4 linked regions of the Caenorhabditis elegans genome follow. The protein of the gene in region 1 interacts with the protein of each later gene in a pairwise test. Each region holds a gene or a part of one and is shown on either strand. Other genes may lie near its edges.

The links.
Region 2: the proteins of med-2 (region 1) and ham-2 interact in a two-hybrid assay, tested with the Caenorhabditis elegans proteins (one large-scale study listed by BioGRID).
Region 3: the proteins of med-2 (region 1) and sem-4 interact in a two-hybrid assay, tested with the Caenorhabditis elegans proteins (one large-scale study listed by BioGRID).
Region 4: the proteins of med-2 (region 1) and lin-39 interact in a two-hybrid assay, tested with the Caenorhabditis elegans proteins (one large-scale study listed by BioGRID).

The regions. Positions count from the first base shown.
Region 1 is NC_003281.10:6,881,771-6,887,225, forward strand, and holds med-2 (GATA-type domain-containing protein), read left to right. Parts: upstream 1-2,732; coding exon 2,733-3,257; downstream 3,258-5,455. Other genes in the region: K04C2.7 (Polyprenol reductase), read left to right, coding at 485-640, 967-1,068, 1,127-1,217, 1,442-1,554, 1,737-1,913; brd-1 (BRCA1-associated RING domain protein 1), read right to left, coding at 3,505-3,606, 3,686-3,828, 3,878-3,938, 3,988-4,147, 5,100-5,215, 5,258-5,355, 5,408-5,455.
Region 2 is NC_003284.9:4,551,633-4,561,251, forward strand, and holds ham-2 (Zinc finger protein ham-2), read left to right. Parts: upstream 1-3,052; 5' UTR 3,053-3,061; coding exon 3,062-3,221; intron 3,222-3,866; exon of another isoform or gene 3,867-4,010; intron 4,011-4,300; exon of another isoform or gene 4,301-4,742; intron 4,743-5,110; exon of another isoform or gene 5,111-5,249; intron 5,250-5,479; coding exon 5,480-5,653; intron 5,654-5,701; coding exon 5,702-5,973; intron 5,974-6,023; coding exon 6,024-6,206; intron 6,207-6,298; coding exon 6,299-6,442; intron 6,443-6,933; coding exon 6,934-7,179; 3' UTR 7,180-7,776; downstream 7,777-9,619. UniProt on the Caenorhabditis elegans protein: Probable transcription factor that acts downstream of egl-15, to promote migration of the HSN motor neurons from the tail to the gonad primordium during HSN cell differentiation.
Region 3 is NC_003279.8:7,035,851-7,043,276, reverse strand, and holds the start of sem-4 (Spalt-like protein sem-4), read right to left. Parts: upstream 4,378-7,426; 5' UTR 4,370-4,377; coding exon 4,294-4,369; intron 2,637-4,293; exon of another isoform or gene 2,566-2,636; intron 1-2,565. UniProt on the Caenorhabditis elegans protein: Transcription factor, involved in positive and negative modulation of transcription. Binds to multiple DNA sequence motifs in the regulatory elements of target genes, including homeobox selector egl-5 and LIM homeobox mec-3.
Region 4 is NC_003281.10:7,532,293-7,539,758, reverse strand, and holds the start of lin-39 (Homeobox protein lin-39), read left to right. Parts: upstream 1-3,126; 5' UTR 3,127-3,169; intron 3,170-5,058; coding exon 5,059-5,358; intron 5,359-6,924; coding exon 6,925-7,102; intron 7,103-7,457; exon of another isoform or gene 7,458-7,466. UniProt on the Caenorhabditis elegans protein: Transcription factor.

The sequences.
Region 1 (5,455 bases):
ACACATATTCATAATATTTTGTTTCCGTTCGATACATCTTACCAATGCTCTGATGACATCAATGCTAACATTCAGATTTGTTCAAAAAGCTTGTTGCAAATCCCCTTTTTTCTTCTTTTCAACACAAATCCTATTCTGATAGCTGTAATCCTGTCATGTCCCTTTGATGATAAATCATGCGAAAAATGATGAAAAAAGTGTTAATCCGAATGTCAAATCTCCCCCACTATCACCAGCTTACCGGAAATTTTTTGAATTTCCGTTGAGAAGAGAAAAAGTAAGGAAATGTTGAAAATAAGCTGCAATTGGTACACTTCGCCAACGCATTGCAGCTAGTTATGCGTGTAATTTTAATATCATGTGATTCTATTTTTTATGTTTCTCATTTTTTGTTACATTGTCACTGTGTGACACCATTTGCTCTGAAATTTCTTTTCTTCTTTTTGTTGTAAAATTCTCTATCATTTTCAGTGATATATCAGAAATGTTACGATGGTTTCACGTAGAAGACGAGAAGACTTTCCTGTTTGGAATACAATTTCGAAATCGAAAACTGGTCACATTCTTTGCTCTGGTTCAATTAGTAGTGGCTTCTGTATCATTTGCTCAACACATTTACTCAGTTGCTCTTTTTAATAAGGTTGGTTGGAACAGTAGATGGAAGATGAATGACTTCACACGTTACCTATAAATCTTTTGGGGATTTTTTAAATCAGATTTTAAAAAAGAAAGAAAAACAAAAAACACTTTAAAATAAGTTTCCGAAGAATCTAAAATCATTCTATGACTCTAAACAAGCTTAGCAAACTAAAGAGCTTCTGTACCTACCCCATACATTCCAGCCCTGATCTCCTGCTTTTTTGTTTTACCGGGTAGACATATTAATTTCAAAATACATTTGTACATTTGTTTCCTAGAACGAAAATCTTGAAAAACATTCCGACTTGATCGTTTACATTAATTCAGATATTCTATTGCTCATTCAACGAAACTCGTTCCAATACCGGTCATTTTCTATCTCATGACGTGATTATTTTCGACTTTGGTCTTTTCCACGAATTAATTAATGTAAGCTGAACATTTCGTTCATTTTTTGTTGGATGGTTCTCCAAACAAGTATTTTCAGGTCCAAGAATGTATAGCAAACTATTTAGACGGTGGCTATATGCGGTGTCTATGGTGTTTCACTCAAATGATTGCATTGACCTTAACAATATGTAAGTGCTCCAAGGGGAAGAGTAACATAGAGTGTCAATGAACTTGCCTACTTTCTTACCTACTGGGCGACCTAGGCTTGCCTCGTGCCTACTTCCAAAGTTCCCGATATAGATTCTTTCAATTAGTCGTTGCCCGGCACTGCTAAGAAACGGTCCTATTCCTATGCCATAGTTTATCGATCACAGCCTTTCCAAAATTTTTAACTGAACCTTCACGTTTACAGGGACAACACTATGTATACCAAAACCACATCCTTTACTGTTATGGCCGATGTTAATAATTCAAAATGCGTATTGTTTTGGATTAGTAATTTTAACAATAGCAACGGCAGATAAGGTAAGGTTTCCAGTTTATGTCTTCTAGCAGGGCATTAAAACTGGAAGAAAGTCGTCGTTTTTTTCATGATCAAAATTGTTTAAAAGTCTCGTTAGACTCTTTGATCTATTAGATAAATATCAGAACTACCTTTAGGTGGAAAGTTCAAATTCTGGAGTCTGAGCAATCTTAAAATATTTCAGCTCCTGGTTGCCCTGTTCCATCCTGTTAATGCTCACCTGAACCTGATGATTTTATATTTTGCCGTTGGAACATCAATCAATCATTTCTTTGACTACATCCTCTGGCACTACTATTGGTATGAAGAATTTCAATATATTGGTAGAACAGGAAAACATGTGATTCCCTTTTGGGTGTAGATTTTATTTCAACTTTTTGTTTTGTTTCAAACTCAATTGTCAACGAAAAGCCCCCTTCATTTTCATAATCTCTGGGACAAAAAATATTTGTATAAAAACGGTTACTGTGTTCCACCTCTGCTTCATCTGAACTATGTTCTCTGCATCGAATAAAAATTTGTTTAGTTGTTATATCATATTTTTATACTTGTATAAAACTTTTGTTAGTGTGAGAAAATAAACATGCCAAAGTACGTAAAACTGTTAGAATTCACTAATATTCCCAAATTCGAAGAGCATTTTAGATGATTATAAAAATCTCATTATGACAACGAACAAATTTAGTCTTGCTGTAGGTATGAAGCAGGCGTAGGCCCTCTTGAAAACATTTACGCAATTTAATTTTAAAAAAACCTTAGCACTTCATTCATATACAAAATTGTTTTGGAAAATTTATTTATCCATTCAATTCTCAATTTCCAAGTAATCACGCAACACTTGAGGCACGTTGATATGATTCCTTTTCTCCGAGTAAAAGCCATGCTGTGTTCCGCCCGAAAACAAATACATAAAAGGTTTATATTGTAGACGTTGGCTGAAACATGTCCTGATTTCACCTGCTTTCCTAGAGAAATGTTAACATCTCCACCTATTGCACAATGAGCCCATCTTCACCTACATTATCTGATAATAGGTAAAGAAGGACCACCTTGCACCTCTGTCATCATGATGATTTTTAGAGCATTATCATCATTTCTAGTGGGTGTGGTCTACAGTAAAAGAGCCCAAAGAATATCAGTTTGAGTCAGTATTCATACTTTATTCCTTCTCTCTATCACTATGGCTTATCCGTACCCAGTTTTCAATGCTGAAAATGTCTTTGACAATACCCAGCAACAAGTTGGATTCTATGATTATTCAACTCCATTCAATGGTACATACTCCTTCACTACTGACTATTCTTATTATAATAACTACTATGACTATGTCAATACTTATGCTTCTTATTATCCAACTGCAATGGATTCTTCATCTTTAAATATTTCACCAACTACTGGAAGTCCTAATTCTTCCCATTTCACCACGTTTACTCATTTTTCTACTCCATCTACATCTCCATCTACCTCTACTCAAAGTTCAACTCCACCGAGCAATTCTGATAATAAGAAGTCATTTCAATGCTCAAATTGTTCAGTAACTGAAACAATTCGTTGGAGGAATATTCGATCAAAGGAAGGAATTCAATGTAATGCTTGTTTTATTTATCAACGGAAATATAATGAGACTCGTCCAGTCACTGCCGTTAACAAATATCAAAAAAGAAAATTAAAGGTACAGGAAACGAATGGTGTAGATTCTTCTTAATGTAAATTGTATCATTGTAAATTGTATAACTCAATTGTAATTTTCTTGTTTTAAGCCGGTAAATTGTTTTTAATTAATATGATCTCATAACTTATATTTATATCTTGTTCTCGATTTTAATTACATCATAACTTTAATTGCATGGATTGGATGCCGTTGTGTATAAAATAACACTTCAAAAAATAATCATTCATATTGCAATTTTACAATAGAAACGCAAAAGAAAATATTTTAAAACGGAAAATGGTTAATGTGGTGGTGTTGTGATGGAGCATCCAAGAATCGCCTCTATTAACCACTGCTCGCTGACAAGATTGTACTTTGTGCAGTCGCGGAATTTGTCTCCTATCTGTAAAGAGAAATAAAAATGTCACCAAACTGAAACTACCGAATCCATAATAACAGGAAAACTCCTTCGTTAAACTTACATCATGTGTCAAGCTGTAGAGCACAAAGTTTGGTTTCAAGTTGGCATTATGGTACGGCGGTGGATCTTTTTCGTCAATAATGGGCTCCCTCGCTGCAGCTTGACCACCGGCAGATCGAATAATTTCAAAAAGAGCTGGGCGATCTGAAATTGAAAATTGAAAAAATTAAAATACTGTAAATTAGAATCGTACCGAGGAAGTTATACTTTGGCTTTGGAATGAAAAATTTGCAACCGGCGAACAATTTTGGTTGCTGAAAAATTTGGTTGTATTTTTTTCTTTAGTGGAAATCAAATCCGTACCATTTTAGTGATTGTCTTCTTCCATTGTTCAATAGTATTTTCAAATACTTCACCTTCCATCCATCTAACTTTCTGAACCATATAAGAACGATCATCATCGACTTTCGATGGATCAATAATGCACGCTCTCAGCCAATCTCGACTAACTATCATTCCCGATCTGAAAGTATGAATTTCCGCTTTGAAATTTCATATTTTCACATAGATTTTTTTGGCTCTCATACTGCACCCTTGCGATTGTTTGCAATTTTCCCATGGGATCAGTCTATAACTAGACAGGGAAACGCATTTTATAATACAATCGAGCCACTGTGAAACTGAAATGAAGGTGTTTCTGGTGAGTTATATACTACTTTTGCTAATATTCAAAACTAATTTTGCAGTGTTTCCTTCTTCTTCTTCTTTCAATTTATGTTAATGCAAAGAAAGCAGAATGTCGAACTGATTCGGATTGCTCGGATAATAGGCTTTGTGTTTATGGACAATGTCTTTTTTCAAATCATGCAAGTGGTGGAGTTGTTATCACTGACGAAAATGCTGATGAACCTTGTACTTTTGACTGTCCAGTTGGAAAAAAATGTGTGGCAGGAGCCTGTGTTCGTGCCTAATTATCTTTTTATCTCCAATAAATATGTAATGCATTGCGACCTGATTTGAAGGAATGATAGAAAATAGACCATAATTACCGAATATAACTGTTAAAAAATTATTTCAGCTTTGGAAAAATAATAAGTTCTGATTAGTTTTGAACTCTCGTGCAAATGAATGGCTAAATTCGAACGCTTTTCGTGATTTTTGCTTGATGTTCCGAAGATTGTCAGATTTTCATAAATTTTTTAAGCAAAAAAAAAGATGAATAAATGTGAAATTATCGACTTTCAATTCAATTTTGAAGTTTCAGCGAATTTCTTTCTGATTATCATGCGTTTTCTTACGAACAAATGCCTTCCATTTATTTGCGCGAGAATTTAAAAATAAGTAGCCCATTTTTTGAAAAATTTCGAAAAAATTAATTTCTTAACAGCTATAGTCTGTCATTACGGTCTATTTTCTGACATTAAAAATCCCAAAATGACTATCTCCCACTTTTTAGGATAATTTTAAAAACCTACTTTATGATAGCTTTTAAAATTTCTCCAATATGCTCCTTGTTAATATTGAGCACACGAGTTTTCAAATCAACGGTGACTACCACATGCGTCGGAGAATCCATATCAGCAGGAACTATCTGAATAAATTTATTTTATTTTTAAAAATTAATTGTTTTTACATTGATTTTTCCGGGAAGTTTTCGTTTTTCAGATTCAGTGAGCATCTTCTCATCTATGAGTTGAACGAAATGAAGACGAGATTTTGGAGGGGCGACGACTGAAAATTCAATTTTTATCACGAAGAATAAAATTGTCAAAAAATTTCTTACCAGGCTGTAAAACTCTCTGTTCAGTCTTGAATTTTTCGATTATTTTCC
Region 2 (9,619 bases), on another chromosome or scaffold:
GTCCGATTTTTTTGTCTTACAGTATAGAATATCTGCATTTTCATTAGGTTGATTTGTGGTAATTTATAGAAAACGAAAAATTAATTTTTCTTACTCATTCGTTAATGACATCGTAGCTCAATCAATTCATTGTAATTTTATAAATATCAAAATTGTTTCTGTTGAATTAATAGTGACGAACAACCTGTGGAACAATAATTTTTTAGAAGTAATAAATCAAAAAAAAAATTCTTACAGTTTTATTTTCTAATTATGTTTATAATATTCATATTCCAACATTGCAAAGGTTCGAACATGCGACAGTGCTTTAGCTTATTCGAAAAATGGCAAAAACTCAGATATTGTCATCTTCTGACTAGAAGTAAAATACTTTCAAATAAACTTTTGAAAATTTTATTATGATATGTGGTCATTTTAACACCTTATAAAAATTTTTAATCATTTCCCCACCAGCTGTACCCACACTCTCCAATTTTCACTTCATATTCAAAACCGTATTCAAAAGTATTCAAAAAATTCAACCCACATCGCCAGGTGTGTTCAAATTTTAACATTCGTTGTTCTCCAACCCCTACAGCCACCAGACTATGCGCGAACTGTTCGAATACGACAATTATTTTTTCACTTTGCTACAAAATGTCCAAAGGTGCCCCCATCTTGCTTGGGGTTTCAATCTCGATTGGGGCCGCCCCTGTAAGACTCTTCCCTTTTTCTATCTCGCAGTTCTTACGTAACCGCCTTGCATTTCGTCGCGCCTGCCCTGTCCGCAAAAACGATTAGAACGATTAGCTTGCCGTTTGACCTAAAAAAAAATCATTCAAGTAGCTGCTGGCTCGTCGTTCCTTCTCGTCATTACGTAACTTTTCAATTTACTATGGTATAAGAAGTCTTTCAGAGGTTTTGATAAAAGTTGAACTACGGCCAGTGGAAAATTATTAAAAACAATGGCGCAAAAATAATCAAGCTTTAAAAAAAAATTTGGAAACATTTTTATTCTGAGTCTGAACTCACTCACAAAAAAAATTTTAATAAGCTTTTTTTGTTTAAAATTGTGTTCAAAATATGCATACTTCAACATTTTAGAGGTTCAAACATGCAAACTCAGTTTTCTCCGCTTTTCGACTCTAAATATTATTAAATATTGCAAAAGTTTCATTATGATACTTAGACGTTTTAGCACAAAAGGCGTGGTTTTGAACCATTTCACTAAGTCCAAAAACTAAAAATCGCAACAATTGTAATATGCTAATACATATATGAATAGGAGCATTCTCTATTTGAATGTCTAATTGATGCAAATATGTGGACCATAAAAGTATGTTCCTAGGTTCTTCAAACATTCTTTCCAATACCTGTTAGTCCTGCTAAAATTGAAAACTTCTAAAAAATGTTCATTTCCATTTCCCTTTTTTCTCATATGTTCCTCCTACTTGCCCACCTAGACCTCTTGTCACTTTGCGTTCACCTGTCTGTCTTTTGATGTAGTATATGGAACAGTTTTCTTATCCATTCGCTATATCTCCATTACCTTACTCGCCTCTTGTTTCTTTTCTCTCGGAGATATATACCAGATAGACATTTGGCGGGAAAAGGCAAGATGTGCTATGATAGCTACTGATTATGTAGCCGTCAAGAAAAGGAACGCGACCTGTACGCGGGAGGAGGTGAATCCTTATTATACGAGCGCCTGGACACACGGCCAAGGCCAATCCCTGTTCGTGCCGAGAATCTCAACGGGGTAAGATTCACACTCTTATCCGTCACCGCTCTACAATTACTGTAGTTGCTGCGGCGTGTGTAGGCCCAAAAAAATAATACAGATAGATAGAAACTCAACAGTCATACTCAACATTTTCAAAATTTTGGTAGTGTGTGCCCAATTAAAATAGCACATTGAATAGAGATAGTTGAACTTGTTGATGCGGATCGAGAAAACCGGCCTCAAAGCATTGTGTGATTATGGGGTCGAATGGCAGTCAGAAGAGAGGGGGAGCGGGAGCGAGAGAGAGACAAAAATTCGAATATAATAGCGATGTTGGATAGTTTATTCTAGCATTGCGCAACCCGAATCAATTTTACAAAACTGGTTTTGTTGTGGTCGTCCAATAAGAAAAAAGAACACGAGAATCGAAGATGCGCGCAATCCTCAACTCAAGCAATCATGCTGTCTATGGTTTGAGGGCTTTTTTGGTGTATCCCTCGCGTCATTCTATTTTTTTTTGGGTCAGCCGTGTTTGGTAGAAGTTTCCCAACTGTTATTCGCTTGTGTTCTATACTAAAAAAAAGCTTGAACAGCTTGCCCACATCTGTTCCTAAGAGCATCGTGCTTCTATCTAAGACTCGCTTCCAACTTTTTTTTTTCAAAATTGAGAAAGCTAATCAACTCGCAATTGCTAGCCAAAATTGTTGCCACTTACTATCCCGACTGTGCTTGATGCCATTCCCCTCACCCCGTGCGTCCCGTCGCTCACTATCTCTATTCTGCATGGTATGCCCCGCCTCCAAAAATCGGGTAGGCGGGGGGAGTCATAGCCTTCAGCTCGTTCTTGCACTACTGCTTGCCATTTTGTTAGTCCAAGAGCACAGGTCACCGGATTACTGTAGTATTCATTTTAAGATTGCAGAAGCCGTGTGACAAATTTCGATTTTGAATGTTCTGTTATTTTCTCACTTCCTCCTCTCGAGCACTCTTACCTTCCCCGCCATACTTGAGCTACTGTAATGCATTGTCCAATCGCTGCTATGTATGCTTTTTCGCTACTTTTAAACAGTATCAAGTGAGGGTGTAAATACCTGGTTGGTGTCAGCCGGCGACGACCTTCTTGTCTCCGGAGAGAAGAGCTGCGTCTGAATACCTTTTCGAGTGTTGTACGCAAAACTTTTCAAGTAGTGGAGGTCTTGGTAGCCCATCCTACTTGTTCATCTATGAGCGCTCTTTCATTCAAACTGTCCACCGTTTTTTTCTTCTTCCTTGTTAGTGTTTCCTTTCAAATTCGATTTTGTGAAAATTTCAGCACCATTTTCTAAAAGCTTCATCAAATAACAAAAACATTTTTAGACAATGCCCTATCGTGCAGAGCTAAAACGTCCCGATTTGAAAGGCTCATTTCCCTGCTCGATTTGCCAAAAAGTATTCTGCCACAGTTCGTCTCTGAGTCGTCACCGGATGCAGGCTCACTTTAAAAGCTACACCTGTACCACTTGCAACAACGAAATTCCAAGTAAGTTTGAAAATGCAAGTTTGAGAAAAAAAAGAGAAATAGATGAATCAGAGTAGCAGGAGCTTGACTAACAATAGGGGAGAAAGAGCGAAACAATTTATGCCGCTATTGATGTTTTCACAGTTTTGTATCATGTTTTATCATATGATAATAAGAAAAAAGAGAGGGAAACTTAACTCGAGAACATAGCTATTGTTGAATTGTACGGAACTTATTCTATTGAAAATTTAAAATTGATCTAAAAATCTAAAAATAAAAAATTATGGGTTCTAGGTGATGTTTAACTTTCTAATTTATTTTTTCAAAATTGAATTAAAATTCTGAACGAATGTTCTATTTCCTGCTGCATTTAGTTTCTGTCTTCTACCAGTTTATTGCATTTCTACATTTTTCTAATCTCCCTCCCAATACATTTATTTGATCGGAAGTCTCCATAATCTGAAATGCGCGAAAGCTCAGTGGCATTGTTTACTGACAAGCTTAAACTCAACTCACACCCTCCGATTAGCACGTGGCTATATTGGGCATGTGTCAAACAAGGTTGATACAGTCTCCTTCTTTCCGCCAAAAAATTACATTGGTTATCTAAATATTGACACCCTTTCCAACTACTACTGTATTCTTAATTGTAGACATCTATATGGCATGGCAAACTGAATGAGGAGGTGTGCAAATACCGAGATAGCTCCGACTGTCAATTAGGAGTATCTATTTAGTAATATCTGTTAAGCTTTTAAAACAACCATGTGCACTTTTGGACTAGTAGCAAAAAGTTTAAAGGTGGAGTAGTGCCAGTGGGGAAATGGTTAACATCCACTTATATAGAGCCAAAATGACCAACATTATTGACAGTCAAAAAGTGGCAATAACTGTGTTCTTGCCACTTTTCGAGAAAACTATAGCAATGCCGCATGTTCGGATCTCTACAATGTTTGAATATTTATATTTGAAAAATATGTAGGCGACTGTTTATCGACGACTTTCAAAAAAGTAATTACCAATTTTAAAAACAAAATTAAAAATTTCAAAAAATTTTTGTAGCGTCGTTTGGCAAATTCGGCGTTATTTTTTTTCAATTTCCCACTGGAGCGTCTCCAGCTATAATGGAAAGCAGTATCATGTATTAAATAATAACAAATTGACTCTAATATTTGTGCAAGAATCTTTTGAAAAGACACCTCTGACCATATTACGCCACAGTTTTACAATAACACGTCTGCTATTTGCATTGTCTAATTGCCCCATCTTTCCATCCCGAGCGGCTTCCTAAGAGAGCGAGAGGCATAAATAACCGACGGTATGTATGTATTACTTAATGGTTTCTTTTCTTGGAATGGAAGGTAGGATGAACCTCCAAGGTCAGTCATTTGATGACCATCCATCAGCTAATTGTTGGCACGCCACTGTCGCTAAGTGAGCTTGAGAGCGAAGAATAGGGCCAGCGCGCGGGCAAAGTAAAAAAAAAACCACCGATTGTCTTCTTTCCCCATCTTCCGCAACAAAAATTGCAACCTCTTCTTTTTCTACCACCTTTCCAACATTACAATTTATTGGTTGTTCACTCGCCGTCAATCATTTGTTACGGTTCGCTGAGCATGGGGGTCGTTCAAGAAACTTTCGGCCAAAGCACCCAGCTTTTTTCACACCTTACTTCACCGCTCGCCTATACGTGGAATCCATACGGCGGCATGTTAGCAGGCAGATCAACAGGATTTGTTATATTACTCGTGCGCAATCCAACAATAAGCGGATCAACCAGTAGAATACCGAAACATAACATGAAAATGTTTTACAGCCTGACCCCTGCGTTTGTCGTTTTTTTTTGTGTTACTGCTTTGTCGGTAGGCAAGATCCGCTATTCTATAGATTTTCTATAGTGCGTATTTTCAAATTCAGACAAACATGCAAATGAGGGGGGTCGTCGTAGAACATTCGTCACATTGGCACCTAACATGCCTTTACGGGCGCGCGTATAGTGTCCCAATGTTGCGAATTTCATTTGATTGATAGACAGTTAGGCTCGGTGGCACAAAGAATGGCAATTAAGTGGAATATGGAAATAGCAATGCAGTTGGGGTTGGCAAATAGCCATTTACATGTTACTTTCGACAAATATTTAGATCATTGAGACATGAATTCAAAAGCTGGAGAAGGGTTCAAATAGTATTTGATAATTACCATAATAAAATGAGTGCGAAATGAGCCGGCACTGCTCTCACTGTTCAGTCATTAGGAAACCTTAAGAAACAATTTTGCAGGCAACGATACACTACGCAGTCACATGTATCGAGTACACAACATTACCCGAATGTTTATGTGTCGGTGTTGCAATTGGGCTTTTCCCGACAAAACAAGTCTTCACATCCATATGCAGAGTATGCTGAAAAATGGGACACCGGGGGAAGCGGCTGTTTTAGCTAAGAGTTCAGATGGTAAAGATCTACCCACAAATTTTGAAATCCATTAATACAAATTTGCAGTTGTAGATAGCACATCCGAGTCGGGCTCCCCGCGTCAGTCTCCACCCTTCTCGCCTGATTTGTTGATGCAAAAGCGTATGTTACAAGTTGCTGCAAACAATAACAACATTGGATCCATTTTCCCGACACTGCTCAAAAGCCCCGACTCCAAATCGATGTTCCCCCTGGATCTTTCTAACATGGGTCCTTCACAGTTCCTCTCAGCGTGGCTTGCCAACAATCCCATCAACACGGCGGCCCTTAATCTGGCAGCGCAACAAACACCGTCCAAAGTACGTTACAACTCTTTGATGTTTTGAATTCAAATGTATTACATTTTAAGGATTCCATCCAGTCTTCTAATATTAGCGATTATGACGACTTAGAAGTGCAGACAACTGAAGAAGACATCAAATTTGAAGTGGAAAGCAGTGATGTCAGCCCTCGGTCAGTCATTGTCAAGACTGAACCAACTTTCAAAAGAGAACTGGAACACGATGCTGATATTGATGTGGAAGGCGATGATGTAAGGAAAACTTATTGAAATTTTGAGGAAAATTTGTTTTTCACCCCATTAAACTTTAATATGTCATATTATGAAACTTTCAAAATTTTCAGGGCGAACCACCATTGAAAATGACGATTGATGACAAAAACATCCACATTTCCCATGATCAGCCTTCTCCAACGGTTTCGGATTCTCACATCAGTGGTGGATCGTCTAGTCATTCGGGCGAAAGTTTGAAATGCTTTGATTGTCAGGTTAGGAAGTTGTCTTAAATGGTTTTGAATTATAATTTAAAATATGAAAAAAAAAAATAAAAAACCATCCATTTTGCGAGCGCTATGTGAAGAGAATCTGGGAATTAGGTACAGTACTTCTGGTGATATGATTAGTCTTTAGGTTAAGTTTGATAATCCAGTCATGGACTGCTCCACTTTCAAGTTCACGCTAGGTTTCAGCTGGTTAAAATCTCAGGGTCCTATAGCAAAACGGGTGCTTTCAATTGTGATGATAAATTTATGAAAACGGATTCGAGGTTTTTTGACACACTCGATTCCAAATATCACAAAAAATTTTCCTGAAGAATTGTATGTATTCCAATGCTTCACAAATTTAGGGGTGTCCTACAAGAAGCGCGCGCACTGTAAAAACTCGTGACCTGTAGTTCTTCAGCGGCCACCACTACCGACTGAGTTATCCCCCACCCACTGATATTTTTAATAATTTACATAAGTTTATGATGTTTCAGGTAGCCAGAGGGAAGCTTGTTGCAGTTGAGGACAAATGTCGTGCCTATGAAAAGACCATTAGAGAGTTGCAAGTTCAAGTGGATTTCCTCCGCAAAATTCAACCGAATCCGATGCCACCCGTGATGCTGCCTCCTCCGATGATGCCTATGCCATCTCCAGGGCCGAACAATCTATTTCAAAATCCTGCGATGAGAATGTTGTTGAACAATTTGATTCACATGAACCGTCCCTCAGTGGTTCCCTAGATCCAAACGATTTCAATTTCTTTATTTCCGATTTTGATGGTGTCATCAAATCTAGTTGAACCACGTAGTCATTTTCATTCCTTGTTTCTAATCAGCATTTTGAGCCATTGAAATACAACAATCCTTTGAGCAATTTCCGAAATACTCTGAATCAAAGAACCAACAGCTTTTAAAGCGGTTTTGGTTGGCTTTTAAACTAATTGTCGTTTATATCTTTGTACATAATGCCTATTCTCGTAGCTACTTCTTATCTTTGCATCCAAATATTTCAAACTTCCAAAAAAAATCAGAGTGCTCTCATTCCTGACAATTGTATTTACCGCAATCTTAGAAACTGGTGGACATTTTCCAAACAATCCGAATCTACTTTACTTTTTTGTTGCAATAGCTTCAATAAAACGTAGCCTTAAATGCACTCAGCGATTTACCTAGAACGTCCTTTACATTACTTCATTGTTCTAAATGTTTCCTTTTTTATTTCTTCTGGTCCTTTTCTTGACTTTTATAGCATTACCCTTTTTTCCCGCCTTGACTTTTTCCTTCCCTCAATGATTTCATTTCATTATATTTGTGATAAATAATTTTCAAAGTTCAAAATGCAGGAAGTAATAAGCCATACAAAAAACTAGCAAAAACGAAACTCTCACAAGATGATGTTATCCTCGCATAAAACATCATTTTGTTTGAATGCAAAACTGAACCCGTTTCAGAGGGTAATGTGCTTTCAGGTGAAGCGATGTGAAAATTCATTTTTACCTTTTCGACCCACTAGACGTCACAATCAGCATAGTGAAAGGTTGAGCATGATTCATTTCTGATTTCTTCCTGATGTACTCAGTCGATTGTCTAAAACTTCAGCTTCAAGAAATTTCGTACTAGTTGATTCCCTTTTTGCAGCTTTCGTTTTCTTACATCAAAACGAAAAATTGCTAGATGAAATACTTACGAACTTGTGTTTGGCTTCAATTGTTATTCAAAATTTCTCAGGAGTGTATTTAAAGTATTCTAAAACCATATAAAACTCCAAAAATAGTCAAATCTATGTTATTGCAGAATAGATGCTTAAAATATTTCTCGAAAATGAATTAATATTTAGATAATTTTTTGTGACTCTCCCTTGTCCATTTTATGTTTTGAACATTTAGTATTTTTGTATCACCAGCTGCTGCAAGTCAATTCACACAGGTTAGAATGTTGCGATATATTGAAATTTCCTATATCTGGTACTCCATTTTAAGGATGTAAAAATTCAGATATTGCAATACTTTTTAAAAATTGTAGAAATTTTTAATGTGCATCCAAAAAGTGGTACCCCTAATTTTGGAAGTCAGCTAGAAACGTTTTTCCTACCATTTTTATATTTCAACCTTTTTTGATTGTTTGTATCATAACAATATAAGGATTCAAAACTACGTCTAGCAGTTTTTTTTCACTTATTATTTTGAAAGTCTACCGAAATATTGTGCATTTTTCTGAAGCTGTTTAAAAGTTCACATGGTTTTACTCATTTATAGTTGAAGATTTTTTTTTCGTTTTACTAAACGAGGCAACCACTTTTCAAAATTATGTGAAACTGATCTTAAGCTATTGAAAACGGAGTAGTGTCTTTTGAGATTTTGTTTCAAATCGGGCGTATGATGCGAATTTTAAAATTTGTCGAGCTCTGCAAATTTGACAAATCTTTTTTTCCAATATCAGCAAACTCGGCAATTTCAGCAAATTTGATTTGCGGAGCAAATTCAGAAAAATATAATGATTTTTTGCCATTTTTTGGAGCACCCAAATTACTGAAGTCACGGATTTGATAGCACGGATTTGATTTTTTGGTGAGGTCCGTTTGGTCTGCCAGCATGAGAAAGTAACTCAATGCTATGCTATTTTACTAGAGTTTTTAAAACAAAATCAATAGTTTAAGTCAAAATTGGTTCGCCCAATTTTTGATGTGTGCGGCAAATTTGTAAATTTGGTGACCTCGGCAATTTTGGCACATCCACTTTTCTGAAACTTGCCGTGCTCGGCAAGTATGGCAAAATTGCTGCACATCCCTGCTTCAAACAATATAAAATGTACCGTTATGACTGGGAGCTGTTGAGAATTTCGTAAAACGTACTTTGTTATTATTACTTTTAAATTCCCGCTCAAATGCTGCATGGCATCGTTTTGGTTTTTTTTCTGCAAAAAAACTTATGAACTGATATTCATACTTTAAGAAAATTTCAATTTTTAACATTTAATTTATCCTAATTAGTTTGGAATTAGATTTAATTTGCATTCTCCGTTTTATTTAAATTTAGGCTTTTCACTGAACCATGATTAATAGTCAAAAACAAACACTATTGAAAATCGAGGGCTTTTGTTTTTGAAATTTAATAAAAATGGTGTTTTTCGACCGATCGCAGCCCATTGTCTGTGTGGTCTTTTTCATTCAGATAGCATTTTC
Region 3 (7,426 bases), on another chromosome or scaffold:
TGGAGGGACGGAAGAGGAGGAGGCTTTATGGGTTCGGAACCTGTCTCACCCCTCTCATTGAAATCTTTTTTCGCAACATTTATAATTTCCGAAACGCTTTTTTGTTGTTGAAAATAGAAATCGATTTGATGATCCGGAAGGGTATATTACCGTATTCGAAACGGAGACTTAATGGAACAGATGAACGGAGAGAGAGGAGGAGGCATCCGATTGGATGATGGGTGGAGACTTATGAGAGGGGATATATTATGATTGATTGGTTTGGAAGAAAAATGAATATGTGGAGATATTGGGAAGAGCAACATGATAAGTTCATAAAGTTTTACCAACTAAAATAGAATGGAGTGTAAAAGATTTTTACAGGCTAAATCTAGGTATCATTGTGTTCAAGGGAGACGTTTCAAGAATGTTTTTGAAATGTATACTTGTAGTCGAAAGTTTGAGTCGCTCCGTGTTCACCTATCCTAATTTTTGAAACAAAGTTTGCCTTCGAACAAACTTTATATTTCAGGTTTCTTTTTATTAATCTTGCAAAATTTTGAAAATTCTGAATTATTTTAGTTTTTTTTCATTTCGAGTATATTTCTGCTCAGCTGTCTATTGCCATTTGGACATATGAGCAAACGGCTGAAATGTTGAGCCCTATTATTTCCAACTTCCGAATTTTCAGAATTGAACGTTGGTCAATTTCAGTTTTTTGCACCTCACAGTCCCCCTAACTTCTAGGCAAAAAATAAATCTTACTCCTCCTGTTCCACATTCTTCAGTTATCAATAAAACAGAGAGTATCGTCCCTAAATAGAAAGTCATCTATATACCAATTTAATAGTAAAATAAAACTTCTCCAAAAAGCAACAACCTTCCTTCCAAATGTCATAAAAAATTGTAAAAACGGTAAATGATCAAAAGAAGAAGAAGGCGTCGGAAACACATAAAACTTCATCCCCTTCTCCCAACAACGACGTCTTCGGGTCGCAACAAAACATTAAGAGTTTCAAATTGAACAAAAAAATTGAAAAATAATTGCGAGAATTAGCCAAAATTAGAGAAAAGGAATGAAAATGAGGGGGTGAAAAGGTTAAGTACGCTCTAATAAACATTACGAAAAAGGCAGCAAAAAACGAAGAAGGAGGTGGGTTTAACGGAAAAATTAAGACGATGTCAACGATTGATTATTGACAAAAAGGGCATGATTTGATTAACTTTTCCGCATATTACAACTAATTCGAGTCGATTGGGACACGATGTGTCTACAGAGGAAAGATGGAGGATACTGTAAATATGATAACGGCCGATTGAGAAAGGGGACTATGATTGTACAATTAGAGACATAATTTGAAGTTTTCAAACGAACAAATTAAAACATCGAAGCAAAACGACAACTTCAAGTATTTAGATCAAAAGATCCAAAGTAAATCCTGTTTCTTCAAAAAACACTGGAAGCAACAAATTTTGAACTTTCTAGATATCTTCAATTGTTTTAATATAATTTTGGGTAACCACACAAAATGTCGCTGTACATTAACTGTATAAAGTAAATTTCAATTTGAAAATTTTTAAAGTGAATGATTCATTTCTTTGAGAACTGGAAGACTGCTCAAAATTGGATATTTTTAGGCTTTAATTTTTTTAAATTAAAATTTCCAAAAATATTCCAAAATGTTTGCATACCCCTAGAGACCTTTACAATTATAATTTTTTCCGAATTCAATTTAAGAGCAAAATTACGGTCCTCCAAAGTAGTAGTAAATAGACTCGAAAAATCTGCTCTCAAAAAAATTTCAGCTGAAAGTTAAAACAAAAAATCTCGTCAAACTGCTCGGAAAATCAACGATATTTCTTAACCAACTTTAGCGTTTTTCTAGGTGCCATTTACGGAAGTGGCCGAAGTTGGCGAAATTTGGCTGAGAATTTGGTGACGAGTTGCCTTTTGCAGCTGAAATCTTTCAATTATCAGATAGTACTGGATTCAAAGGAACTACCCAAACTTTCGTTCGAGGCGAGAATTACATGACGCTATCTATTTTCAGTTTTGAACTGTTTGATTGTGCAAATATCGTAATTGAGCCCCTTAAAATAAAGTACTCTGGTAACTGCAACTCATGAGCAAAAACTCAAAAACTCTTCATTTTTATCATCTTATCTGTGTGCGAGTCAGTTGGTTTGATATCATCCATTCAATAATAGTCTCATTCATTCTCTTCTCACGCGCTCATAAAGAGTCCTCCAATGTTAATGAGTGTTATCCAAACGCTCCTCCTCCCCAAATATCTTTTTTTTCAACTCATCTACCTCTGCTACCATCAAAAATCCATAAAATATATGAGATGATGATACTCTGCTGGTCCTCAAATACACACTCTCACACACACATTGTGACACACACACATAATGTTTCAATTTTCGTCTCCATCGTCCAACCAATTCATATTGCTTGTTGAAGGAGGAAGCTCTGATATTGCACACTATTTCTCTCGTATTACACAAAAACACTATAATAAATGATCGAGTTTCGAGGGGAGAAGACCCACAGAAGAAGAATTCTGATTCGCAACAACAACGTCTTCATCCTGCCACTCTAAACTTCTTTTGTGTTCGATCATAAATTCGATTTTATGATGGCTCGACTCGACTCGTGTCGAAGGCGGCGGCTCGCGGACCTCGAACACAATAATGTTGCCACTTGAAGCACAAAAAAGAGAGAATCAATAAGGCTTTCAATAGAAAAAAATAATAATGGGCTCAGCCAATGGAAGAATCAGCAGAGAGATGAGATGACAATAAGTCTCAAGTCTCACACACAAGAGCACTTGTTCGTCACAAAAAATGATTTGTGAAGATGAAGCCGAGAGCTGATGGTGGTGGTTTAGAGACAACTGATACCGGAAATTATGATACAAATGATACACTTCTTTTCTCAAAGATGAATATAAAATTTTTTTGAGCATACGTGCCTGCAAGGCAACCTCGGCCTAATAGTAAGCCTATATATCTTTAAATAAAAAAAGGTTAATCTTAAATTTCAACATGTTTATAGAAAATATACGACTGTAAAATTTGTATGCACATACACAGGCAGAAAGTACCAAGAAATATTCTGCATACAAAGTCATGCTCTAAGAGACTGGGTCTTCACATTCATCGAATTGTCAACAGCTGTTGAAATGTTTGACAGTACTGAATGGAAAATTAAACTTTTATTGTCACAGGTGAAATATTTGTGAAACTCGTTTTGGTTAACATTATCTACTAAAAACTTTCAAAACAAATTTCAGTCTTGCTCTTTGAGCTGGACACCAAGTTCAAATTGTCAAATTGTCATCCCCTTTTCAACATGCTCTCATCCTTTCTCTCTCATGTCTGTCTGTCTCAGAACTTGCCAAATTGATTGGTTTTCTTTTTCTCCGAAACTCTTTCTCCCTTCCCCTTGCACTCCCATATTTGGACATTTTCTCTCTCTCTCTCTCGTTTCTCTGCTTTCTTGCTCTTTTTTCTCTCTCACTTTCTCCTCATAGTCGCTTATGATTGGATGGAAATGTGACGGAGGGGCGGAGCAATATGAAAAGATGAATGGAAATATAATAAGTGTCTCTGGTCTTCGGGAGGAGCTCTTTGGACTACGGTAGGTTTTGATTGGTTATGATTGAAAGAATCGAAGGAAAAGCATTGAAAAAACACTAAAAATGAGGTAAGAAGATACGAAAGAGATAGAGATAAGAGATATGTTATCATATTTGACAAGGTTCTGTGTTGGAAACATTTTAATGAAAAAGTGTTCCTTGAAGTGGAACAGATGTGACAGATTTCTCATTAAAACTTAAAAAAATGAATGAACGAGAAATATATGATAAATTATATTTAAATGAAAATGCCAAACTAGGATGGTTTTGGTAATATTAATTTTTTTTTAATACTGGTTTTCTAGCAAATGTCTCGTCCGAAACTATTCGAAGTAATATGAATAATATTGATAAGTTGATAAGAGGAATTGACATTAAAATTGTAAATTTACACCAATTTATTGTCTCCTTCCAATTTTCATTACTTATGTCCCAAAAACCCATAAAAACTAGTGATAACTGGTTTTTCTAGAAAGTCTAAAAACCTTCAAAAATGTAGAACTAAAATGATTTTGAAACATTCCAAAAGTGCGTTTTAAGTTTTAATATTCAACTTTGTTATTTTCGCAGAAAATTTCAAGATTTCAAGGTCGATCATCATCGCCTTGTTTCATTTTCTTGTCTTTTACTTCATTAAACACCCCGCATTTTCCTCTCATTTCCCTCAACTTACCACCAGACATTCGACGTGGTTTTGACTGTTTTCTGCGGGATGAAACCGCGGCCATCTCGGCGAGCAGCTCATTCATCTGGAGCTCTGAAAAGTTGAAATTACTAGAAGATGAGCATGATAGGCAAAGAATGAAAGAGTAATAGTGGACAAGAAGAGGGAAAAAAGCAGAGAAAAGGATACAAAACAACACACACAGAGAAAAGAGACAGAACAAAAACGATTTATATTAGAAAGATGAGAAGGCGACGGGACAAGGGGGCACATATTGCGAAAACAAGGCTATTATCAAAATTTATATTATTAGAGTAAAATGGTAAAAGTATTGAAGACACGAGATGGCAGTAAGGGAATGGGAATGGAATTCAATTGACGATAAAAAATTGAACTTTAAAATAGAGTCATTAATCATAAATGATATTGCTCGAATGAGCTAGTTATCGAGCGGCGAGCCTATAGTCTAAATTTGCCCATAATGCATTTTTGGAATGAACATTTTTGAATTATGCACCGGCTCGCCATTTGTCTTTGCAAAAGTTACGAAATACTTGGTTATATGACTGGGTTTAGGCCGCACCCAGATTCAGCCCAAAATTGATCTAACTCTTTTCAGCGTCTCAGCCAAGTTTAAAACGATACAATACAAGTTTCACAACAGCTAGATAAAACGTGAGTTTAATTTGGGTACATCATAAACCAGGACTTTCTCAAGTTTGCCCCGAGCTTTGTCAGTTTTTGAAAGAGTAATTTTTGGATCAACCATAGGCAATCAGTTCGCGCCAAATGACGAGTATAGCCGCAGAAGAATCTTGAATCGGATGATTTTTTTCGAGTGTAAATATGAAATTTTGTTGTTCATGGTTGGGTAAAGAAAGAATATCTCAAAAAATGATCAGGGGAAGGTAGTGAGTGATGATGTGAGTAAGTGAGGGTGTAGAAGATGAAAATCGTATAAAATGAGTGAGTGAGCGGTTCCCCTTTTCCATGAGGTGGATACGGTGTTGCAATTGAAATAGTTGGAAAAAAAGGATGGAAAAAAGATCGGATCGGTATGAATATAAAGTGCGAGATGCGGTTGAAGATTCCGTTAAATTTGGTGGGGTCTGAGTTCTGTTTGTGTGTGTTCTACAGGCTTTTCGGATTATGAGTCATCAGATCTTGTAGACTAGAATTATTTTAGGTTGAGTTGTAAAGTTTGATTTCTAAATTTAGATAGGAAATGAGGATCGGACGTTTTCAGATACAAGCCTTAGTGCAAAGCTAACCCAGAAATTTGTTATAGATACATATATCGCTATAAAGTGACAGTGTCCCTTTCTCGCAAATTGTGGCGTCACAATTAGTTTCTAGTACAAATCATTTTTAAAAATCATGCTCGACGCCAGACTACAGAAAAAATGGTTGCTCCGTCTTGCAGATGTTAAGCTTCTGTAAGTGAGCTCTGAAAGGTGTTAGCTGAGATATTAAAAATAACATGGCAGGTTGAAATTGTTTTATGTGAAAATGGAACTACATTATTGAAAGTTCTCAAGAAAGTCTCAACCTCAGAACTTGACTAAAAAAGCAGAAATTTCTAAAAATGGCAAATCAATGAATGAATAACTGAATTACTTGCATGATTTGTTGAATGATTGATAAAACACTAATTGAATTAATGAACACAGTCAACCCCAGAAAAAGTCTTTTTTTTTCTCTCTTCATCAGAAGACGTCGTCGATGATTCGAGACGAATTTGATGATAATTGTCACCCCCGTGGTGGTGGTGGTGAGGGGAGACATATTCGATTCGATTCGCGCCAGGTACTCATTCTTGTACCTGACGCTCCGGGCGCCTGTGTGAGGGACGAGATATGATCTGGTAAAATATGAGTTGTTGCAAAAGAGAGAGAGAAGGCGACCGCCACGGGAGACCGACACGTCTTCTCCCTCATACATGACTCCGCCCATTTTGTTCTTTTTCTTTTTCACTCCGTTTCAGAACTGATAGAGATGCAAGTAGTTTGGGCCCCCGGCAGTTCCGAGACCCAAAAGCCCCGCCCACTTTTAAATTGCCCATTTGAGATAGTGAGAACGAGAAGTGAGAGGGTGCAGAGAGGCAGAGATAAATGAATTACTACTGTGTGGGGCTCTCGATGATGATGAGGAGAAGCCTCCCCGGGCCTCAACCATGGGGCGGCTGTTTGTGTTGCAATTTTATGATTTAGCTAGATTGTGATGGAAGAGGAGCAATGAAAAAGAAAATGTTAGAATAGAGAGAATACAAGTAATCTACTCAAATTGGGAAGTTGATGATAAAACTAGGTTTCCGTGAAGTTAGACAAATAGAAAGGAATCTTTGGGGCCAAACAAATTTACCTTCTGCAAACATCGTACTTCTTTAAGTCATATTAATATTTCACCCCCAACAATTTGTATAAAACCAAAGAATCGTGATATGAGCAAGAAAAACAAATACGGTCTATTAAAAATTAGCAACAAACTTATTTTTTAGAACTTCCTAGAAGTTTCACGGTAAGTTGCGATTGCTGGGCAGGCAAGTAGGTAGGCATTTTTGTGTTAAATTTCATCAGATTCCAATTTCGAAATGTTTTTATTTTGAAAAAATTACTTCAATTAAAAAGAGATGAAATACTTTTAATTTTTTTAACATCTTTGAATTCTAGAACTTGTATGAGATTAATTTTTGATTATGCCTTCCAGAATCAGATGCACAAAATCTAGATATTCCAGTTATAAATGGAGTACTTTTAAATTTATGAGTTATCTAGGGTTACTGTAGAAAGGTGTCTAGGTTACTGTGTGAAAGAAGGATGGTACAAGTTGAATAACTTGATCGAGTCCCAATCCATGTATGACATACACGAGGCACGAGCAAAAAAACGTATGTCGCGGGGTGTCGTCGGTTAGTAAAAAAGAACAAATATAAGAATTTGAGGAGTAGGATTGCGGAACAAGGAGAAGCTTCCTCTCTGGTCTCTATAGAGAGACGGTAGAGAATTAAAGACAACGGTATGTACAGGAGCAAGACGAGACGAGTAATCATCCATTTTCTTCGGGTTTTTCTATTTCTTAGTTGCTCCTCCTTTTCCTCTCATAAATCATCACAATATTGACATTTCGTTTTTTTTTTCTCTTC
Region 4 (7,466 bases), 650 kb from region 1:
TGATCAAGCTTTTCAAGCTTTCAAACAAACTTTTTGAGAGTTATTTTTTATCAAACTGTATAAACCTCAAGACAATTTATATACAAGCTTTAAAATTTTTAACGTTTCTCTACTGCTGGCGTACTTTTTCAAAACAATTAATATTTTTTCAAACTCTGAGGTTTCAAGAAAGAACGGCAAATCGGATATGTGTTAGGCATTTCAAGCGTTTCAAGCTTCAAGCGTTTACACCCCTGGTGTAAATCACGCTCAACGGACCAAATAACTTCCTTACCGTGCTAATTTGCGTATTTTCAAACTAGCCTATCAAGAAGAATACAAGTCTAGAACACAAATGTTCTACAAACAAAATGATCAAAAATATATTTCTACTTTAATTTGCATTAGTTTTCAGAGCAAAATATCCATTATTTGTTGAGTTGCACATGGGTAAACACATTTTACCAAAAGCCGCCGAAGTTTTTGAAAACTCTTTTGTTGTTTTTTTTTTAAATTTTTTCGAATAACGGTCTGTAACTAGGCTGAAAATGAAAATATCAAAAATCTTAAAACTGATAAAATGTGGCTAAATATTTTTCAATTGCAATCCAATAAAATTTTTCTTCTGTAATTCAATGGATGTTGGGATATGACCGGTACAACAAAAGAGTTTTCAAAAACTTCGGCGGCTTTTGGTAAAATGTGTTTACCCCTGTGCAACTCAACAAATGATTGGTATTTTGCACTGAAAACTAATACAAAATAAATTAAAAATATTTGTGATTATTTTGTTTATAGATAATTTGTTTTCTAGACGCGTACTTTTCAAGATAGGCTAGTTTGAAGAAACGCAATTTACCGAATTTAGGATCTATATCTGAAGTTTTTTTCCATCATAATAATTGTTGAAATCTAAGATTTGAAGGGTAGGTTGAGTTTCGCAGCTTAAAATTTCCCAACATTTAGCGCTATTGGAACTACTCCAAAATTGGCCCAAAATATAAACTTGGTACAGAAATTGATAAAGCTTAGAATAACCTTGGTCGCGTTAAGGTTGGGCAGAAAGTGTTTTCATTCAACTCTTGTCAAAGGTTTAGCCAAACCTTACCTGTGTTCTTTTAAGTGCGGGTCTATTTTCTGACAAGCTTATTTTAATGTTTCGAGTTTTTGAGAATTTTCGAGCTTTGAGTAAAAAGTTTCCACTCATTCTGAAGTAGACGTATAATCTAACATTCTTGATATGGCAGACAGTCTAGAATCTAGTTTAAGACTTTTTTCAATCAGAGAATTAAATGTTTTACTATATTTAGGGTTAAGTTACGCTAAAGTTTCCAGATGCTTATATTCTAGATCTTTTGAACCCTTTTCGTTTGACTTTTTCAGATATAGTTCATAACTCCAATTTTCCAAACTCGCTACCTCTTTTCTCATTTTTCACCAGGCATCCCCCGGTGGTTCAATTTCCTTTCCTTTCATTTCTTTTTTGTCTTATGCTTCAATGTATTCATTACTTTTCCCTCTTTTTCTCGTCATTTGATTAATGAACTTCCTACTGTAACTCATTCTATCTCGTTTCTGTTTGCACTAGATTGGAAGACCAAAAAAAATCAAAATGAGGAATTGTCGAACATCAATTTGTAAAAGAGAGAAGATCCCTACACTTCTTCAACCTATTTTTTCTTGATTCGTGTACCTACAAATGAGTAATTGGATGCCATTCATTCCACACTTCTTGATGCTTCCTGACACTCATAAATCACTGTAAAAGAGACAGGAAATAGACTTGAGTCAATTGCATAATCACTTACTAATCATTTACTCACTTTTTTTTTTTATTTATTACCACAGTGTTATGCAATTCTTATCTCCTTATCTATACTGTGAGAGGTGTGAGGATATTGGATCATTTATAGATTGAGAAAACTGATAATGAAATAAAAAATGTGATGTGTTTGGGTTATTTCCTTTTATAGTACATTATCATGTGTTGTGGCTCTGAGAATTTGTAATTCTCTATGTACTGTTAATTTGAAAATTTTATTTTAATCAAAAAATTAAAAAAGACTTTCAAAGTTAACAAAAGTAACACATTTTAAGTTTTATAAATAGTTTAAATATCTCTGTTTGCATGTTTACAGTAGGGAACTTCTAGAACTTTATTCTTTCATTTTGTAAGAGGCGTTGGAATCAATTCAGTTGCAGTTGGCATTTCTGAAACCTCAAGTTTCGGGAACTTTTACTTTTAAGAACAAGGTGAGGCACTGCTGGAAATCTCGAAGCAATTTCAGATGCCTTGCAAAATCTTGAAAACATATTAAGCGTATGCTTCAGTTGTAGACTTTTATATTTAGGTATCTTGACAATTCCAAAAAATAGTGTTTGGTGTCGACCAAGTATTGATAACATTTAATTTAGCTAGAAATAGCTAGAAGCTTAAATTTTTAGAAAATCTGATCAATGACCTAGAAAAACTTCAACGTTTTTCAAAATTCCCATAACGCCGTTTTAAAATTTCACAGAAATTCGTCTTTTGGTCATTTGAACTTTTTGTGCATACCAGGCATTTGGCTCAAAAAGCGGACTATCAGATGTTGGCAAAAGTTGGTAAGAGCTTTGACAATACTTGTCTTAGACTATGTTGTCGAAACCTTGCTCAATTTCTGCTCAAGTTTTAGCCCAAAGCCGAGATACTCTCCCTTTTTGCCATTTTTCCAATTTTCATGTAACAATTCCATATCTATAAAATCAGAGAGTTCATAAAATTGAGCACATTTCGACTGACTCTTGACAACTTGTCCAATGGGAAAAAGTTGGTCAAGATTTTGTTCCTAAAAGCGGCAACTTAAAAGCGAAAATTCATTCTGCTCAACTCTTCTACTCTTGGAGCCCAAAAGCTTACGGTACCTGTCGTTCTCACCCCATGTCCATCCAGCGCTGTCAGTGATGAATTGAAAAGGCGAGAGCAAGAGATGTGCTCTCGGCTCCACGAACCTCTTTGATCTATGCCGACAGTGGGGGAGATTGGAGAAGAAGCATGCTCCACCCTTCACGTGTATCAGTACGTCTGCGTCTTCTTGTGCGTGCCGCCCGGATTAGAAGACATGAAGTGGGAGGGCGATAGAGGAAATTCCGATGGCAATACCAACAATAGAATTTTGGCAACATTTTTTTACGACCTTCTAGAATTAAGGTAAATCTCTCTTTTTTTAAATCCACTCCTGGCACAAAGCTTCTCAAAGTTCTAAATGAAACTGGAACTTAACTTTAAATAAGTTGAACCTAGAGGTCACCTGAAAAAGTTATAGGAAAATTCTCTACTATTTAAAACGTAGTCTTTAAATTTTGCAAGTTATGTACTTCAAATATCAATTTTCCACCTTTGTGGCAGAAAACGTTTAAAATCTAGTTTATTTCGGAACCCTCTTATATTTTCGCAAAGTTATCGACTAAATTTCAGTATTTGAAACATTTTTAGATACTCGGCTTTGGCTTCTGCTGTTTTTTTTTTGTTGTAGGAATTTATTCAAATTACCTGCGTTCCGAAAAAACATTTTATGTTGCATTATTGGAGAATATACCATTGAAAAATTGAAAACATATCTGGAAGAAATGAGCCCAGATTAGATGTTGCACTTTATGAGGCGTTGCGAAGGCGCCTTTTTACCGTGTTCCCGTTATTCTGCCGATCATTTAAATAAATTGAATCTCACCCTCGTTTAATTTGTGAATCATAGAAGAAAACAAAATGTAATCTTACTTTAAAAAAGCTATTATCACAACTTTAAATTATCCAACTTAAAAGCTTCATTGTCAGGTGTGTGCGACAAATCTACCGAAATTGCTGAGTTCGTCAAATTTCGAGGATTGCCCACAGCCTCAATATTTCTGAAATTTCATTTTGTAATCAGTAGTCACATAAATATTCAAGACATGGAGAATGTGTGGAATAGTGTTAGGTAACATTTCAGAGCTTAGGCCTACAGAGAAAACACATAAAGACTTCTAGTCCATACTTCTTCTTGACCTCATAGATTGCTTACTAGTTTATATAAAGCTATTTAGAGCAATTATCCAATCTTATAAGGTAAAACCCGCGGGTCTTAAACCATGACCACCCACTTGAGCACACCCACAAAAACAATTCGTCTCTCGCAGATTGCTCCTCAATTTATCACCATCATCTTTTCTCTCTCCATTTCCAACTCTTTACTTTTCTTCTCTTTTTGTTCTGTTTCCGTTCTTAAGCTTTTGTTGTTTTCCTAGTTTTAATGATTTCCTAAGGATTAGGTACAAGTAGTTGATAGGTTGATCTAATTCCTTTTGATGAATGCAGTAATTAAAAAAAACAAGGTTCTTAAATTAAAATTTAAAATCTATCAAACGGTAATTATTGCTAATTCGTGTTCTGAAATTTATTGGTTTCAATTATATGTGCCCAGGAATTTTAATAAATTTTAAAGCTCTGATCACCTGTAAAAGAAATTGATGGTTGCTGAAAGTTCTTCAAAATTTTAAGAACTGAATCATCGTATTTAACTTTTGTGTTGAAAATTTGGGCTCTTGGGAGATATTGATCCGGTCATTGATTGCGATTGTACACGTATCTCTGAATTCTAGACTAGCAGCACAAATTGTTAGTTTTCTTGCTCTCACTACAATTGTTCAAATTTAAATACCTATTCTACTAGTTATTCGGTTTTTGAAGATATGTAGACTTTAGGAATATCTGAATGATCTACTTCAATGAAAAAAATTTGATCTCTTTTTTTAACTACTGCATTCATCTCTATCGTCCTCTTATTCTATTCCCTCATCCCTTCCGCTTTCTGAGACTCCACCCTTCGTCCAATAGGAGAAATGGGCGGGATCGGGGAAGGATGGCGCCCGGTATTCTGTCTCTTTTGCAATGGAAGAAAAGAGGAGAAAGAGGGAGACGTCACATTTTTAACAAATGTTCAACCGCCCCGACGCGCCTCTCGTCCTCATTTATTATATCACCTCGTTTCCCCTCCCTCCCCTCATCTTTTCATCTCTTTTCAATCAATTCTTATCAATCACTTTCACTCGTTTTCACTCCAGATGACCACATCAACATCACCGTCATCCACAGATGCACCGAGAGCTACAGCTCCTGAATCAAGCTCTTCGTCTTCATCCTCATCTTCTTCATCATCATCCACATCTTCTGTGGGTGCATCTGGAATTCCATCATCTTCTGAATTATCGAGTACAATTGGATATGATCCAATGACAGCGTCTGCTGCACTTTCTGCTCATTTTGGAAGTTATTATGATCCGACTAGTTCTTCTCAAATTGCTTCATATTTTGCCTCAAGTCAAGGACTGGGAGGTCCTCAATATCCAATACTCGGAGATCAGGTTAGTTACGAAACTTTAAAGGTAATTTTTAAAACAGTATTATATTTAAAAAAAAAACACTACAAATTTAAGTAGATGAAATGATATTTTAGAAAAGTTCAGCAATTTCGAATTTCGTAATCTTTTTAAGTTCTCTGAACGTCACCATACTTTAAGCAAGAGTTGGAGCGTTATAGTTAGGAAGCTCCTCTATTGGCAAAAATTAAATTTGTGTAAAATTTTAATAACTAAAATAGTGTGTGATTCGGGATAATTAAAATAAAGGAATGCTCACAGATTTATAGAAAGTCACAATTTTTTATTTGCCGCACTTTTGACAACCTTCAAATAATTCTAGTTTCTGCAAAGCGCTGAGACCGATTTGGTTAACTTTTGCTAATCGAATTTAATTTCTGAAAACAAACCATTTTGAAAAATAAACAGGTGCTCAGAGACAATTAGTTCTTGAAACATTTCGGGTCCATGTGGAATTTAAATTTCTTGAAAGTTTTTTTTTATTTCATCTGTTTTTTTTTAATTCAAAAGTTCTAACACCCTTTTGGCGCCTCCCACTGGTTTGAAACTTCTGTCATTTCCCGCCAAAAATTGAAAATCAATCAATTCCTCAGCGTTTCTGAAAATAATCTGACAACGCGATCAATTTTATTTTCTCTTTTGAAGTGAGTGGACTGGCGCCTGGTGACTACCATTGGAAGAGTAGGAATTGAAATAAAATTTATGAGAACGAGTTACAAAATGGAGAATAAGAGGAAGAAGAGTATTCAGATTGAGATTAATGATCGTTCCATCGATTTTTGTACTTTTTTAGATTCACAATTGGAAGCTGCAAAAACCTCCAAGCACTGGTACTAACTATTTTTAAATATAAAAAAAGGTTATTTGAAATGTGGATAGTTTTGATAAATATAACAAATTTAATGCTCAACAGGTAGTTATTTTTAGCTTTAAATTCGATTAAGACACACATTTGCTAAAAAGTTTTTGAAGTTTTAGAGCAGAGTATCATTTTTTGGCAAAACAATGGTCTCACAAGATGAATTATTTTTAAACGATTATTCCTTATGAAATAAAAACTTACTCAAGAAAATATACAACTAGAACGACTGGTCCGTAGGAAAACCAAACGCAGTGAGGGAAAATGAAAGAAGAAGACTGAAGAGAGTGAAAGAGTGAGAGGAAGAGTTTCAAGATTAATTGTTCCCGCTGTTTGTCTCTTCTTGGATGCTAAGATGTATCGGTTAGAGAATCTCTTCCAAAATCTTCGCAACATTTCAAATATTGATTTTATTGAAGCTTGTTGATCTAGGGTGCTTTATGTTTATGTTAAATCCAATCGATCGATTTTTCAATGCCTGAAATAAATTTTGAAAGTTACAAAAACAGCCAATAAACTACTTTGATTCAAGTTTGCATTCAGTCTAGTAACAGATAAAACCCAATAGCTTGGAACCAACCGTCCATGATCGATGAACGAAGTTCTGAACAGTTATCTTAGCCATCCTACTAGAGTTGAAAAGCTCTCCTTCTTTCAGCGTAAACTTCAAGTAATTATAAACATTTTTTCAGTCACTATGCTATAATCCATCAGTAACAAGTACCCATCACGACTGGAAGCACCTGGAAGGAGACGATGATGATGATAAGGATGATGACAAGAAAGGCATCAGTGGTGATGACGATGATATGGATAAGAATTCAGGCGGTGCAGTGTATCCATGGATGACACGTGTTCATTCAACTACAGGTTAGTCATTTTTTGAAGAAAATTGGTACTAATGTACAGAATAATAAATCACTTCTTAATTCAAATGTTTTTTCCCACAAATTCCTCATTGAAAAAACAACAATAAAATTATTGATAATTGGTTTGAAAACGTTACCACGATCTCAGTTTGATCTCCACTGAATATCGCCAGTTCACAAAACCCACTGAATATCCATTTATTTCTGGGCATACTAGTTATCAAATCGAATCAAATATCCATAGACCTTTAATGGCAATTTGTTTGGGTAATTATAAATCAATTTACTACTGAATAGTGGAAGGAAGCTACAGTACTCCCCTTCTTTTCCCTCTCTCCACATCATTTTGACATGAAGCATAAGGA